Linked DNA regions of Canis lupus familiaris. The protein of the gene in region 2 interacts with the protein of the main gene of each other region in a biochemical or structural test. Links are inferred from orthologs where the notes say so. Each region holds a gene or a part of one and is shown on either strand. Other genes may lie near its edges.

Region 1 (4,153 bases), on a different chromosome or scaffold from region 2:
ATAAGGATCTACTCTTAGCTTCTAAGGGATTATAAAACAAACAAACAAACAAAACCCAACGTGGTTACTTACTGAAGGCTAGGAGATGTGTTTTGTGAAGCGTCCAGCTCACAGCTTCTCTGTGAAGTGAGGGGAATGGACTGGATGGCCTCGGAGGGCCCTTTCCTGGGTTTTAACAGGCTCTGATTCTGGGAGATTGAATGGAATTGAAAAGAGCCTCTGCCTCTGTGTCAAAAGATATCATTTTAAGTCTCAACTCCCCATCCATACAATTTGATTTATCCAGTCAAAAATCTTTGAACGTCTGAGCGTCAGGTACAGGGGAGGATACAGTAATGAGCAAGACAGACATGGCCCCTGCTCATCCTGTTAAGAAAATCGGAGGACACCTATAATGTGCGGTTGTCCTATGGAAGAAACCCAGCTGGTCCAAGTATGGTGTAAACTACAAAATCTTGCATCCCATCAAAAGATGGTGATCCTGCCAGGATTCCAGTTTCACCAAGTCCAATGACAACAAAATCGTCACCTATTTTGCTGTTTTTTGAGAGAAGCCTGATAGTGTATTTTAACCAAACCTGGTCAACACTGCAGGCAGCTTTCCCGCCCTTCTGTTGCAGTTCCACCTAAATGGGCTGAGGTTATGGGTGCTCACTTCCAGCACTGTACTGTCGCTGGCAAGAGGCCAAGCCCCTAGTCCACTCTCGCAGGCCTGTCAGAAACCCATTAGGCTGAGTCTGGACCTGCGGGTTCTCGGTGGCTCCAAGTCACCAGCCTCGGCCCCTCATCTGTGAAAGGCAGGCCGTATCTGCGAAGAAGCCATCTCCCACGCTACTGGGAAATGCGGATGCGGCCGTGTGTCGTCGGGCCGAGCCTCGCTCGGAGGCCACACTCCAGAGGGCTGGGGAGGGCCCCCTTGGGGCTCCATCTCGAGCCCCGGGCCGCGACTCGGTTGGCAGCAGAGCTGGCGGGGCCAGGCGACTCGGTCCCGGCCCCAGCTCCCGCACCCGCTTGCTGGGTGGCTCCGGGAAGGTCACCTGGCGGCCCTGCCGGCTATAGCCTGCATTCGGCGGGAGGGGTGCACCGTCTCCCGGCCGCCGCGCTCGTCCCTACGGGCTGCCAGCAGCAGACGGAGCGGCCGGGCACCGGGGACCCGGGCAGCAGCCGAGGGCGCCCGGGAGCGCGCGGGGGTCACGTGGGGCGCGCGGGGGCGCGCGGGGGCGCGCGGGGGCGGGGCCTGGCGCACGCGGCTCAGCCGGCGGCGGGGCGCGGGGCGCGGGGCGCGGGGCGGGCGGGAAGGGGCGGGGCCTCGGGCGGGGCCGCCGGGGGGAGGCGGGGAGGCGGGAGGGGAGGAGTGGAGATGGCGGCGGCGGCGGCGGCTCAGGGGGGCGGGGGCGGGGAGCCCCGGGGAGCCGATGGGGTCGGCCCGGGGGTCTCGGGGGAGGTGGAGGTGGTGAAGGGGCAGCCGTTCGACGTGGGCCCGCGCTACACGGAGCTGCACTACATCGGCGAGGGCGCGTACGGCATGGTCAGGTGAGGGGGCGTTCCGGAGGAGGGGGCTCGTGGGGGGGCGCGCGCGAGGGTGAGTGCCCTCGGGCCGGGGCGCTCCCAGGGTCCCGAGGAGGCGGGGGCTTCACGAGGCCGGCGGGGCGTCCCACGGCGCGGCCCTGGGGTGCTCTGGGGGAGCGGCGCCGCCTACGTTCTAAGGGGAGGGGGCTTGGGAGGCCTCAGGAGCGACCATTCTGTAGTGAAGGGAGGGGCATCGGAGTGTCCGCGGGGGAGCCGTGGGGGGACCCTGGGGACTCTGTGGACGCGGGAGGAGGCGGAGACACGAAGTATTCTTGGGGAGGTGATATCAGTGAGGACCGAGTGAAGGACCCTACTCTGGGGAAAGGATGCCTTGGATTCTCCCAGTGAGGCCTGCCAAGGAGCTGGGGAGAGCAGAGCTCAGGGCTGGGCAGGGTGGGGCAGGGCTTTGGGCCTGGGGCCAGGAGCCCGGTGACCCATGAGGGGTCCAGGGGTGCGTTCTTGCAACTTTTAGAAGGGGTCTGTTAGCTCTCTCGTCCCCACTGTGTGCTCTGGGCCTTTGTTCATCTGGGAACAGCTCTCCTGCCCAGGTGCCTGACCCTAACACCTCATCCCTTCTTTCCCATCCCTCCTGACCGCCTCCTTCTCACTGTGCCTCACTGTGCGTCCTGCACTCACCTCCCACTCCCTGGACCTGTCTTGGGTTGAAGGAGCCCAGCCTGGAGAGGGGAGGATGAGAGGTCAGGGCAACTAGAATGGACAGGGCTGAGGAGAGGGGAAGTCAGTGAACGGTCAGTCTCTTCCTCTGTTTGTGAAGTCACCGAAGGGCTGCCTGGCTGGTCCCCAGCTTTCTCCCTGGAGATCCCAGGCCTTCACAGCAGGAAGGAACCAGCATTGTTTATGACTTGGCCAGAGTCCTCTCATGCTCCCTCCCCTCCCTGCTCAGGCCTGGGTAGGGCCACCAGGCCTGGACTCCCCCTATGTAAGGCCACACCAACAACATCTCTCTGACCCTCTCAGCTCAGCTTACGACCACGTGCGCAAGGTTCGCGTGGCCATCAAGAAAATCAGCCCCTTTGAGCATCAGACCTACTGCCAGCGCACACTGAGGGAGATCCAGATCTTGCTGCGCTTCCGCCATGAGAACGTCATTGGCATTCGGGACATTCTGCGGGCGCCCACCCTGGACGCCATGAGGGATGTGTATCCTTCACCTTGGCCAGATGGCTGGCTAGGCATAGCCTCAGAGCCGGGCTGGGAGAACGTTGGCTTTCTTTCTGTTTCCTTCTTTCCTGCCACACTCCAAAACAAACCCAGCAAATGAAACTTTCCAGCAGAAAAGAGACCACAGAGTGTAAGAGGACTGGGAGGCCTGAGGTGAATCCTGGCCTGCTGTAACCAGGCTGTGTGGCCTTGGGCAAGTCTGTGCTCCATGCTGTGCCTCATTTGGGGGGAGGGTGAGAGTTGGGCTCTATGGGAGCTTTGTCTTTTGACATCTGCATTTCTGTGACGTGACCCAGCCTCTGCCCACAGACAGTTCTTGTTTAACAGATGATGATTCTTTCCTCTCTGGGTCTGCAGACTGGAAGGAAGGCAGGAAGGAAGAAAACTGCCCGTTCTGAAGGGCCTACTATGAGTGAGGTGCAGTGCACGCCAAATGCTTTGACACTTCTTATTCTACCTCCCAGCTGCTGTATGAGATGGGTCTCATCAGCTCCATTTCAAAGATGAGAAAACTGAGGCTCAGAAAGCCCCAAATCAGGTGCTGCTGTTGCTGCCTCCTAACCTCCCCCAGATGAGAACTGTCCTTTCTCTGACATTTCCTGCTCAGAGCCTCACCCCAGTCACCTGTGGACTTGCACTTCGCCCAGGGAGGGACAGCCTTGTCTTTGTTGCCCTCCCCCCCCCACATTGCTTCCCTAGCTTGTCGTCCACTTCCTGTCAGGCCCTGTTGTTAGCAGCTTATAGCACCCATCACCTCTCCCCACCCTACCCACCCCCAGCCAGTCCCAGTTCTCCACCCAAATGTGGGGATTTGTGCTGCACTGTCTGCAGCCCCCACCACAAGCTGTGGGCAGGAAATCTCCACACTCGCCACTAGCTTGCTGTGTGACCTTAAGCAAGTCACTGCATCTTGCTGGGCCTCCTCACCTCTCAAACAGCATAATCGGCCCAGGTGTCTTCAGAAGGCTCTTTCAAGGCTGATTCTAAAAGACAGCCCTGACTTATTCTTTCAGAGAGCAACCAAATGGCATTTATTTATTTATTTATTTATTTACTTAACGTATGTTTAATCTTTGTTTTCTCTTAAAATACCAAAGGACATTTACTCTTCCATCTTCTGATGTATGGCCAGGCACTCTTTGAGGAGGAGCATGCTGTTGGGAGTTTCTCCTCATTTGTCTTGCCCAAACCATTCCCCATAAGGCAGGCATTTATTTTTAAGCAAACATTTATTGCATGCCAGATGGTGTTCACACTATCTCATTTAACCCTCTCAACAGCCATGTGGCTTAGGCATTTATCATAGCAACACTAGTTCATGTTTGCTGAGCACTTACAACATGCTAGGCTCTGGACTGGGCCGGCTGGTTTCCATGGGTCACCTCACTGAGTCTTCATAACT
Region 2 (3,510 bases):
TTGATAGCCGTGCTCTGAAAAAGCACCTCGGACTGAAATCAACATTGGAAATAGGTCAGATGCCCAACATTTTGGGGTGACACAAGACTGCCCAAAAGGAAAAGCAAATGTCTACAAACACAGACACTGAAAGGACCAAGCAGAAGGTGAACGCTGTCAGCACTTAAGACGCGCCAAATGTTAGTCACGAGAAGGCATGACCAGTGACATGTGAGTGATGGCACCTGGGGGCAGATGCTGGGGACCTCACGACCAGCACCTGCGACATCCCCAGCTCCTGTGCCGCCATGTCCCCTAATTCCAACGTGGCAAAACTGCCTTTGTTTAAACACAAATCGCTCAACGATTTCACAATCAGCAGTAATTCTAAATTCTGTAGTTAGAGACTGAGCAAGTTTTAGAGACCCCTTTAGAAACCACAGGTCAGAAGCCTCTTTACATTCCCAAGACTTTCAGAGTCAGCATGATACGCACGCAGCCAGAGGAAAAGTGACAACTTAGGTGTTTTGTGAGCACAGCCAATAAACCCGGGCTTTCCCCAAAAGACCCTCTGCTTCCACAATGACCCAGCCAGGCAACACCCGGAAAAGGCATACAGCACTCTATGTGCTTGCTACGGCAAAGCCACTCGGGACTCAGCTCCCTGATGGGATGTCACCACAGATGCCCCATTCACACCGACTCCGGGAGCCACTGCTGGAAACTCGGGAACAATGGGAGCTTTTTCCCTTGCAATACAATTTTTATCTACAGAACATTTACATAATTACATAATGAGAGCTCACAGATTCTCTATTCAAATTAATGGAATAACAAAGTAATACAGTTTTGATTCATAGGCACTCTCAAGGATCCCTCCACCCCTTGCCCCTCAATAACTCAGATAAAAGACATATCTGCTCAAGGCGAATTTCAATCTTGAGTTTGTTCAAAAGTCCTCAATCGCATGATTGTTCCGAGACAACGCGAAGCTACAAGACAACGCGAAGCTAGCAGCGCTGACACCAAGAAAAGTGAGCACAATGCGACGTCGAACCCAAAAGCGCGGGCGCAGAAGCGAATCAGCCCCCAAGCCCCCAAGCGTGAGATGCCGGTGACCCGAGAACGCGGTGCCCGTGCCGGGCCCCCCTACGGATGCGGAATTCAGGATGTCCCGGCATCCCCTGTGAGGAGGGGAGAGAGGCTGAGCTGTGTGGAAATGCGGCAAAGCAGCAACCCGGCCCCCCGCCCCCCGCCCGCGCCTGTGGCCCGTGAGCGTCGCCAGCGAGGACAGACAGTAGCGGGACAGCATCCCCGCTGGGGCTTAGCTCACCTGCTCACTCTCCTTCCTTTTCCTTGTCAACTAAAGTGGACACACGTGGTGTGCGCCCCTAGTTACTCCTCAGAGCTCACCTTGCCTGAGCCCCGCTTGGGCACACCCCTGTCACCGCCAAAGAAGCGCCCGAGGGAGTCAAGGATGCCCGTGTCTCTGTGCCTCGGGAGGAAGCCATGCCTGGCGTGATCCATGGCGCTTGCTGAGGCCAGGTACTTGGATCCGTGCCTCTGGGAGGGTCTTTTCTGTGACGCCATCACATCCAGGCCCTCGGGAGTGGCTGCGCTGTCCTCTTGGATGGTCTGGAGCTCGTCTGACTCCGAGGGCCTGTCTTTGAAGGTGTTGTCCTCCCTCCCCGGGGCATCTCGGGAAAAGAGGCGGATCAAGTGGGGGCGGCCCCCTGGGTCAGCTGGGTTGGCGTCCTGCCAGGCATTCTTTGGGTCTGCTGTGCGCTTGGAGTCTGTCACCGCTGTGTCCTGAGAGGGGGTCCCATTGTTCTGCTCCACATCTGCCTCCCCTGCAAACAACAGTGAGATATGAACACGGGCCGTGCAAAGCAGAGTGAGGGACAATGCGGCTTTCTTCCAGGGCTGGGGACCTGCTTGTGTCCTACCAAACCCACAGAATGCATGCGCGCCCGGGGCCGTCAAGCTACCTGGTAGCCCCAGATCACTCGTGGTGGGACCCAACCTGGACTGAGCGTCCTACTTGCAGGTCTTGTCTCGGGGAACCCCAGGGGCTGCCTCAGTTACTCGACACCTGGTGCCCTAGATAAAGCGTACCCCAGCTTCCTGCTGAGGAGGCCCAAGCAGACACAGCAGTCACCCCTGGGCGCCGCCGCTGCTGCTGCTGGGCGTGGAGGGGCCAGGGCTGCAGGCGCCTCTGTGGGACATCGAATCCCTCCAACTCCACTGGTGCACAAGCTAAGCGTGTTGGGAGCAGTGGTTTGATCAAAGGTATTTTCAGTGTTCTCGATAAAAATGGAACTTCCCACATCTTTTTGCAATTCATGCCCTAAAGAAATGGGGCATTTAGAATCCTTGAGTTTCCAGATTCCACAAGAGGCCTCTTGCATTAGAGAATTGCTTATTCAGGGTATTTTAATTTGGCTTTTCTTCTGCAAGCAGCCCCAGTTACAAAGTGTGAAGTGGGAATGGCGTATTCTGTGAGCCATATGACCTTCTCCCAGCTTTCACACATGTACGGGAAAATACCGCATTTCCTTCCAGAATGGCAACACACCCATTTTGCTCTCAAGTTACAAGTTAGGTTTGAGGGTATGTCCACCCTACTTCACTCCCCCCTTCATTACATATCTATAGAAAATGTGGGTTTACTCATGCTTTCCTCTAATATCATCCATCCATCCATCCATCCATCCACCCAACCAGCACCAATCTGTTCACTGACATTTACCAGCAACAGCACCCACTTGCCCATTTATCTGCTGAGCCACCTACCTACCAATCCAGCTACTGATCCAGTCACTGACCTGTCCACCCAGCTAACCCTCCACCCAGTCAGCTGCACATCTTTCCACCTACCCACCCAATCACCCATCCATCTGCCCGCCCACCCACCCAGCCCCCCAACCATCCATCCACCTGCCCAACTACCCACTCACCCAGCTGTCCAATCATCTATCCACCCACCCCCAGCCAACCACCCACCCAACAGCCCAACCATCCATCCACCCACCCAACCATCCACTCACACACCCAACCACCAACTCAGCCACCCATCCATCCACCTGGCCACCCATTCATTATTTATGGAGCACTTAATAACCATCATATACTGAGCTAAATGTTTGGGCTGCAGTGATGAAAAAGATGTGGTCCTTGTCTCATAAACATTAATGGAAATGAATATTAGGAAATGAAGTATCCCCCAAAAAGGCAGGTCCCCATCCTAAGTCTCAGTCCCTGTGAATGTAAACTTATTTGGAAATAGGATCTTTTGTGGATATAATCCAGGTAAGATGAGGTCGTCCTGGCTGAGGGTGGGCCTAACCAAGTGACTGGCTGGTGTCTGTATAAAAAGAGGGAGATACAAAAGGGATATAAAAAGATACAGACGCAGACACACAGGGAAGGGACCTTGGGATGGTGGCAGGGACGGGAGTGACGTGGGAACACCCGAAGGTAAGAGACAGGGCACAGGTCCTCCCCTAGAGCTGGTGGCGAGAGCACAGCCCT
Region 3 (4,270 bases), on a different chromosome or scaffold from region 2:
AGACGCGGGATCGAATCCCACGTCAGGCTCCCGGTGCATGGAGCCTGCTTCTCCCTCTGCCTATGTCTCTGCCTCTCTCTCTCTCTCTCTGTGACTATCATAAATAAATAAAATCTTTAAAAAAAAAAAAAAAAAAAAGAATCAGACAGACCAGGTTCCAGTCACAGCGCTGTCACTCTGTGACCTTGGGCAAATGACCTCACCACTCTGAACCTCAATGCCCTCTTCTGTAAAATGGGCTAGTTAACCTGCCCATGGGGCGCCTGATTGAGGATTCAGCAGGATTCAGCAGGAATGCCCAGCGATTCCTGAACACACAGGAGTTCTGAGCAAATGCTAGCCATTTTTGTGATTACTGACCCGGGACTGACCCGCTCGGACGCAGCTGGGTGGGCATAGGGCTCCCGCGGGTCTCATCCCTTCCTCCCAGAAAATTGGGGGTCCAGGGCAGGAAGGCCCGGGCGTTGCTCGCTCGCCGTCTCCAGTGTCGCCGCGCCCCCTAGCGGCCGTCGGTTGCCATGTCAACGGCGGGCGGCTGGGGCCTGGGGAGGCGGCGGCGGGGGCCGTTCTCTCCTCCCAGGACCGGAGGCCGCTCCCTCGGCGCCTCCCGCCTTTCCCAGCGGAGGGGCACTCCGAGCCGGGGAGAGGGCTCTCCGCGGCAGCTAGCATGGGGGGGTAAACTGAGGCACGCGACAAAGCGCTCCGCAGCCAGGTGTCGAGCTCGGGGCCCCACCTCCGAAGGCGGAGGAGGGGCCGCGGGCGGTGACGCGCCGAGGGCGGCCGGCGGACAGCGGGCGGCGGCGGCGGCGGCGGCGGCGGCGGCGGCGGCGGCGGCGGCAGGTGCGGCCGCGGAGGGTGGGAGGGAGGAGGGAGGGGGGCGGGCGGAGGGGGAGGGGAGGGCGAGGCCAGGGCACCTCCCCCTTTATAACGCGCCCCCTCCCGGGCTCTCGGGCCACCTCCTCGTCGGCTCTTCCCATCTCGCCCCCTTGCCCGGCCGCCCCGGGCCCGGGCCCGGCCAGGGAGACCCCAGGCCGCGGCTCGGGGGCCACCCCCCCGCTCGCCGCCCCGCGCAGCCCGGCGGAGGCGGCGCCGTCGGAGGAGGAGGAGCAGGGCACTGCGGCTGGCCCCGGATCGGGCGCCAGAGCGGCAGCGGCTCCGGCAGCAGCGGCGGCCCGGGCCGATGCAGCGGGACGCACCGCCCCGAGCCCCAGCCCCGGCGCCCCGGCTCCCCGCGCCCCCGATCGGGGCAGCCGCCAACAGTGGCGGCGGCGGAGGCGGGGGCAGCGGCGGCGGCGGAGGCGCCTCTGCAGCTCCGGCTGCTCCTGGCCTCCCGGGAACTACAAGTCCCAGGGGGCCTGGCGGCGGGCGGCGGACGGAAGAGGCGGGGTCGGCGCCGCGAGGCCGGAAGTGGCCGTGGAGGCGGAAGTGGCGCGGCCGCGGAGGGGCCTGGAGCACGGCGGCGGGACCCGGAGCGGGAGCAGCGGCGGCGGCGGCGGCTGGGGGCGGCGGCGGCGGCGCGCTGGAGGCGGCCATGGCAAAGCAGTACGACTCGGTGGAGTGTCCCTTTTGTGATGAGGTGTCCAAATATGAGAAGCTCGCTAAGATCGGCCAAGGCACCTTCGGGTAAGGCTGCGCCCCCGGGGGACCAGGCGCTCTGGGCCTGCACCGCTCAAATCCGACGTCACGATGCCCAGGGCCGGGCCCGAGGTGGTCGGGAAGGCCATGAGCGCCAGACGTGTCCCCTGGTTTTGCTAGGCCGCGCTGCGGCCCGCCTGGGCCTGACCGAGCCGGCTGGCGGGGAGGAGCCTGAGGCCTGTGATGGGGGGCGGGGAGGGGTTACGGAGAGGAGCCAGTGGTGGGAGCGGGCTCTCCGAGAGACGCCTGAGTGAGGAGACTGAGGGGAGGAAGTAGAGGCTCGAAGCTCCGCAGATAGCGGGTGGCAAGGTAGGGCAGTGCCCTGGGTCCCCGGCCCAGCCCCGCCCGGGGAATCCCTTTTTTCTGCCCCCCTCCTCTGGTGGGGGAGGGGCGGGCCCTGCAGAAACGGCCTGATAAAACCTCTTGGGTCTCCCTCTCGGCCTGCAGGGAGGTATTTAAGGCAAAGCACCGTAAGACCGGCAAAAAGGTGGCTCTGAAGAAAGTGCTGATGGAGAACGAGAAGGAGGGGGTGAGTATGGGCCGGGTGGGCGGGCCTGCCAGCTCCCCTGGGCTCGGGGTTGGGTTTCCACCCTGCTTCTGCTAGGGCTCTCGTCTGGAGAACCTGTGTGTCTGTGTGTTGGGGGGGGGGGGGTAGTTAGGCAATTTCCGTATTCGGGGAATTTGGCTTCCAAATTGAATTTTTTAATTCAAATGTTTTAGAGCTTTTGATATCCCACTCTTAGGTAAATACGGTTGGGGCCAGGAGGGGGAGCTCATGCCTGCAGAGTGTGCCTTAGTTCCTGAAGTTAGGAAGCCTTTAAACACGGTTTCCTTAGCATTCATTTTGCATAAGGCGGAAAGAAATTCCACTTGGTGGTTTTAAGGGAGTGGCTGGTACTCAGTTGAAAAGGAGCAGTCCCCTCCCTTGCCTCATTGTAGCCCTAGTCCAGCTTCCCAGAGACCTGCTTAGCAAGGACATTTCCTTAAATAGCTGTTTGTTTCCACCTAGTAAGTTAAATACAGGTATAGAGCTAAAACTTAAATATTGAAGAAACTGTGGAACATTTATTTAGTGACGAGTAGTGAAGTGTGTAGGTATTAAGTCCCACTGTTTCAGTTCATTGTCTCAGAGCAACTCATTGAGGGGCACATACTATTTTTACACCCATTTTACAGCTAAGACATCTGAAATGATGTCAGAGCCCGGGACCTTACTCGTTTGCTGCACCTGTGCCCCTTGATCTGGACCACACGGTTGTTCATTGGTCTGTTCATTGGTCTATAGTTGACTCGCTCACCTCAGGCCCCCTCTTGCCTTTCTCCTACCCAGTTCCCCATTACGGCTTTGCGGGAAATCAAGATCCTCCAGCTTCTGAAACACGAGAATGTGGTCAACTTAATTGAGATCTGTCGAACCAAAGGTAGGTTCTTTGGCTCCTGCCCCCCTTTACAGATGGGGAAAATGAGGCTTACTGCCTAAGGCTTTGCAAAGTTGGAAGTGGACACACCTAAATTGCCTCTTCTTAACCCAGACAAACCGACTGTGACTGCTCTTGGGTCCTTCCATCGTAGCTGTTGCTCCTCGAGGGCCTGCCACAGCACCCAGCCCAGAGGAGGCACTCAGGAAATAGTTTTCCAGTGAAGGAAGGCACAGCCGAATATCCCAGTGTCCACGGGCTGGAGGGGTAGAAGCTGTGTGGGGAAATGAGTTGCACGTGGGGTTTTTTACTTTCTTTTTCTTACTCCTCCCCCATTCTTCCCTCCCAGCTTCCCCCTATAACCGCTGCAAAGGCAGTATATACCTAGTGTTTGACTTCTGCGAGCACGATCTTGCTGGGCTGCTGAGCAATGTCTTGGTCAAGTTCACACTGTCTGAGATCAAGAAGGTCATGCAGATGTTGCTCAACGGCCTCTACTATATCCACAGAAACAAGGTGGGGGTCAGCATGGGGTAAGAGAGACCCGGGCTGGGGTGGGCCTCGGCTCCCACCGCTGGGTGGGTGCGACTGAGGGTTCCCCTTGGAAACCTGATTGAGCCCTCTTGCGCTTCCTGCAGATCCTGCACAGGGACATGAAGGCAGCTAATGTGCTCATCACTCGCGATGGGGTTCTGAAGCTGGCCGACTTTGGGCTGGCCCGGGCCTTCAGCCTGGCCAAGAACAGCCAGCCCAATCGCTATACCAACCGTGTGGTGACGCTCTGGTACCGGCCTCCGGAGCTGTTGCTCGGTGAGGACTCCCGAGCGGGCGGAGTGGGGCAGGGGCTGGGCACTTACCCGGCCTCAGTCCCCCACTGCCAGGGCTTCTTGAGCCGCCGGCCCTGGGGCATTGCGTCTCAGGAGGCCCTCGGGCTCAAGGGGCCCTCCTGGTGCGCTCTTCTTCCCAGGGGAGCGGGACTACGGCCCCCCCATTGACCTGTGGGGTGCTGGGTGCATCATGGCCGAGATGTGGACCCGCAGCCCTATCATGCAGGGCAACACCGAGCAACACCAGCTTGCCCTCATCAGCCAGCTCTGTGGCTCCATCACCCCTGAGGTGCGTGGCCAGGCTGCCTGGGCCCCTGGTCCCCACAGGACGCAGAGATCCAGAAGTCCTCCTGGCAAGGGAGGAGTGGGGAGTGAAATAGCAGGAAAGTT

The links. The genes of interacting proteins can lie anywhere in the genome.
Region 1: of the proteins of MBP (region 2) and MAPK3, one has a biochemical effect on the other in vitro, tested with the Homo sapiens proteins (5 studies listed by BioGRID). The link is inferred for Canis lupus familiaris from reciprocal best matches to the Homo sapiens genes MBP and MAPK3.
Region 3: of the proteins of MBP (region 2) and CDK9, one has a biochemical effect on the other in vitro, tested with the Homo sapiens proteins (2 studies listed by BioGRID). The link is inferred for Canis lupus familiaris from reciprocal best matches to the Homo sapiens genes MBP and CDK9.

Annotation. Positions count from the first base shown.
Region 1 is NC_049227.1:18,278,796-18,282,948, reverse strand, and holds the start of MAPK3 (mitogen-activated protein kinase 3), read left to right. Parts: upstream 1-1,346; 5' UTR 1,347-1,360; coding exon 1,361-1,533; intron 1,534-2,547; coding exon 2,548-2,730; intron 2,731-4,153.
Region 2 is NC_049222.1:2,890,291-2,893,800, reverse strand, and holds part of MBP (myelin basic protein), read right to left. Parts: intron 1,830-3,510; coding exon 1,393-1,829; intron 1-1,392. UniProt on the Homo sapiens protein: The classic group of MBP isoforms (isoform 4-isoform 14) are with PLP the most abundant protein components of the myelin membrane in the CNS. They have a role in both its formation and stabilization.
Region 3 is NC_049230.1:55,704,450-55,708,719, reverse strand, and holds the start of CDK9 (cyclin-dependent kinase 9), read left to right. Parts: upstream 1-1,463; 5' UTR 1,464-1,531; coding exon 1,532-1,623; intron 1,624-2,082; coding exon 2,083-2,164; intron 2,165-2,965; coding exon 2,966-3,056; intron 3,057-3,402; coding exon 3,403-3,569; intron 3,570-3,691; coding exon 3,692-3,863; intron 3,864-4,020; coding exon 4,021-4,169; intron 4,170-4,270. UniProt on the Homo sapiens protein: Protein kinase involved in the regulation of transcription.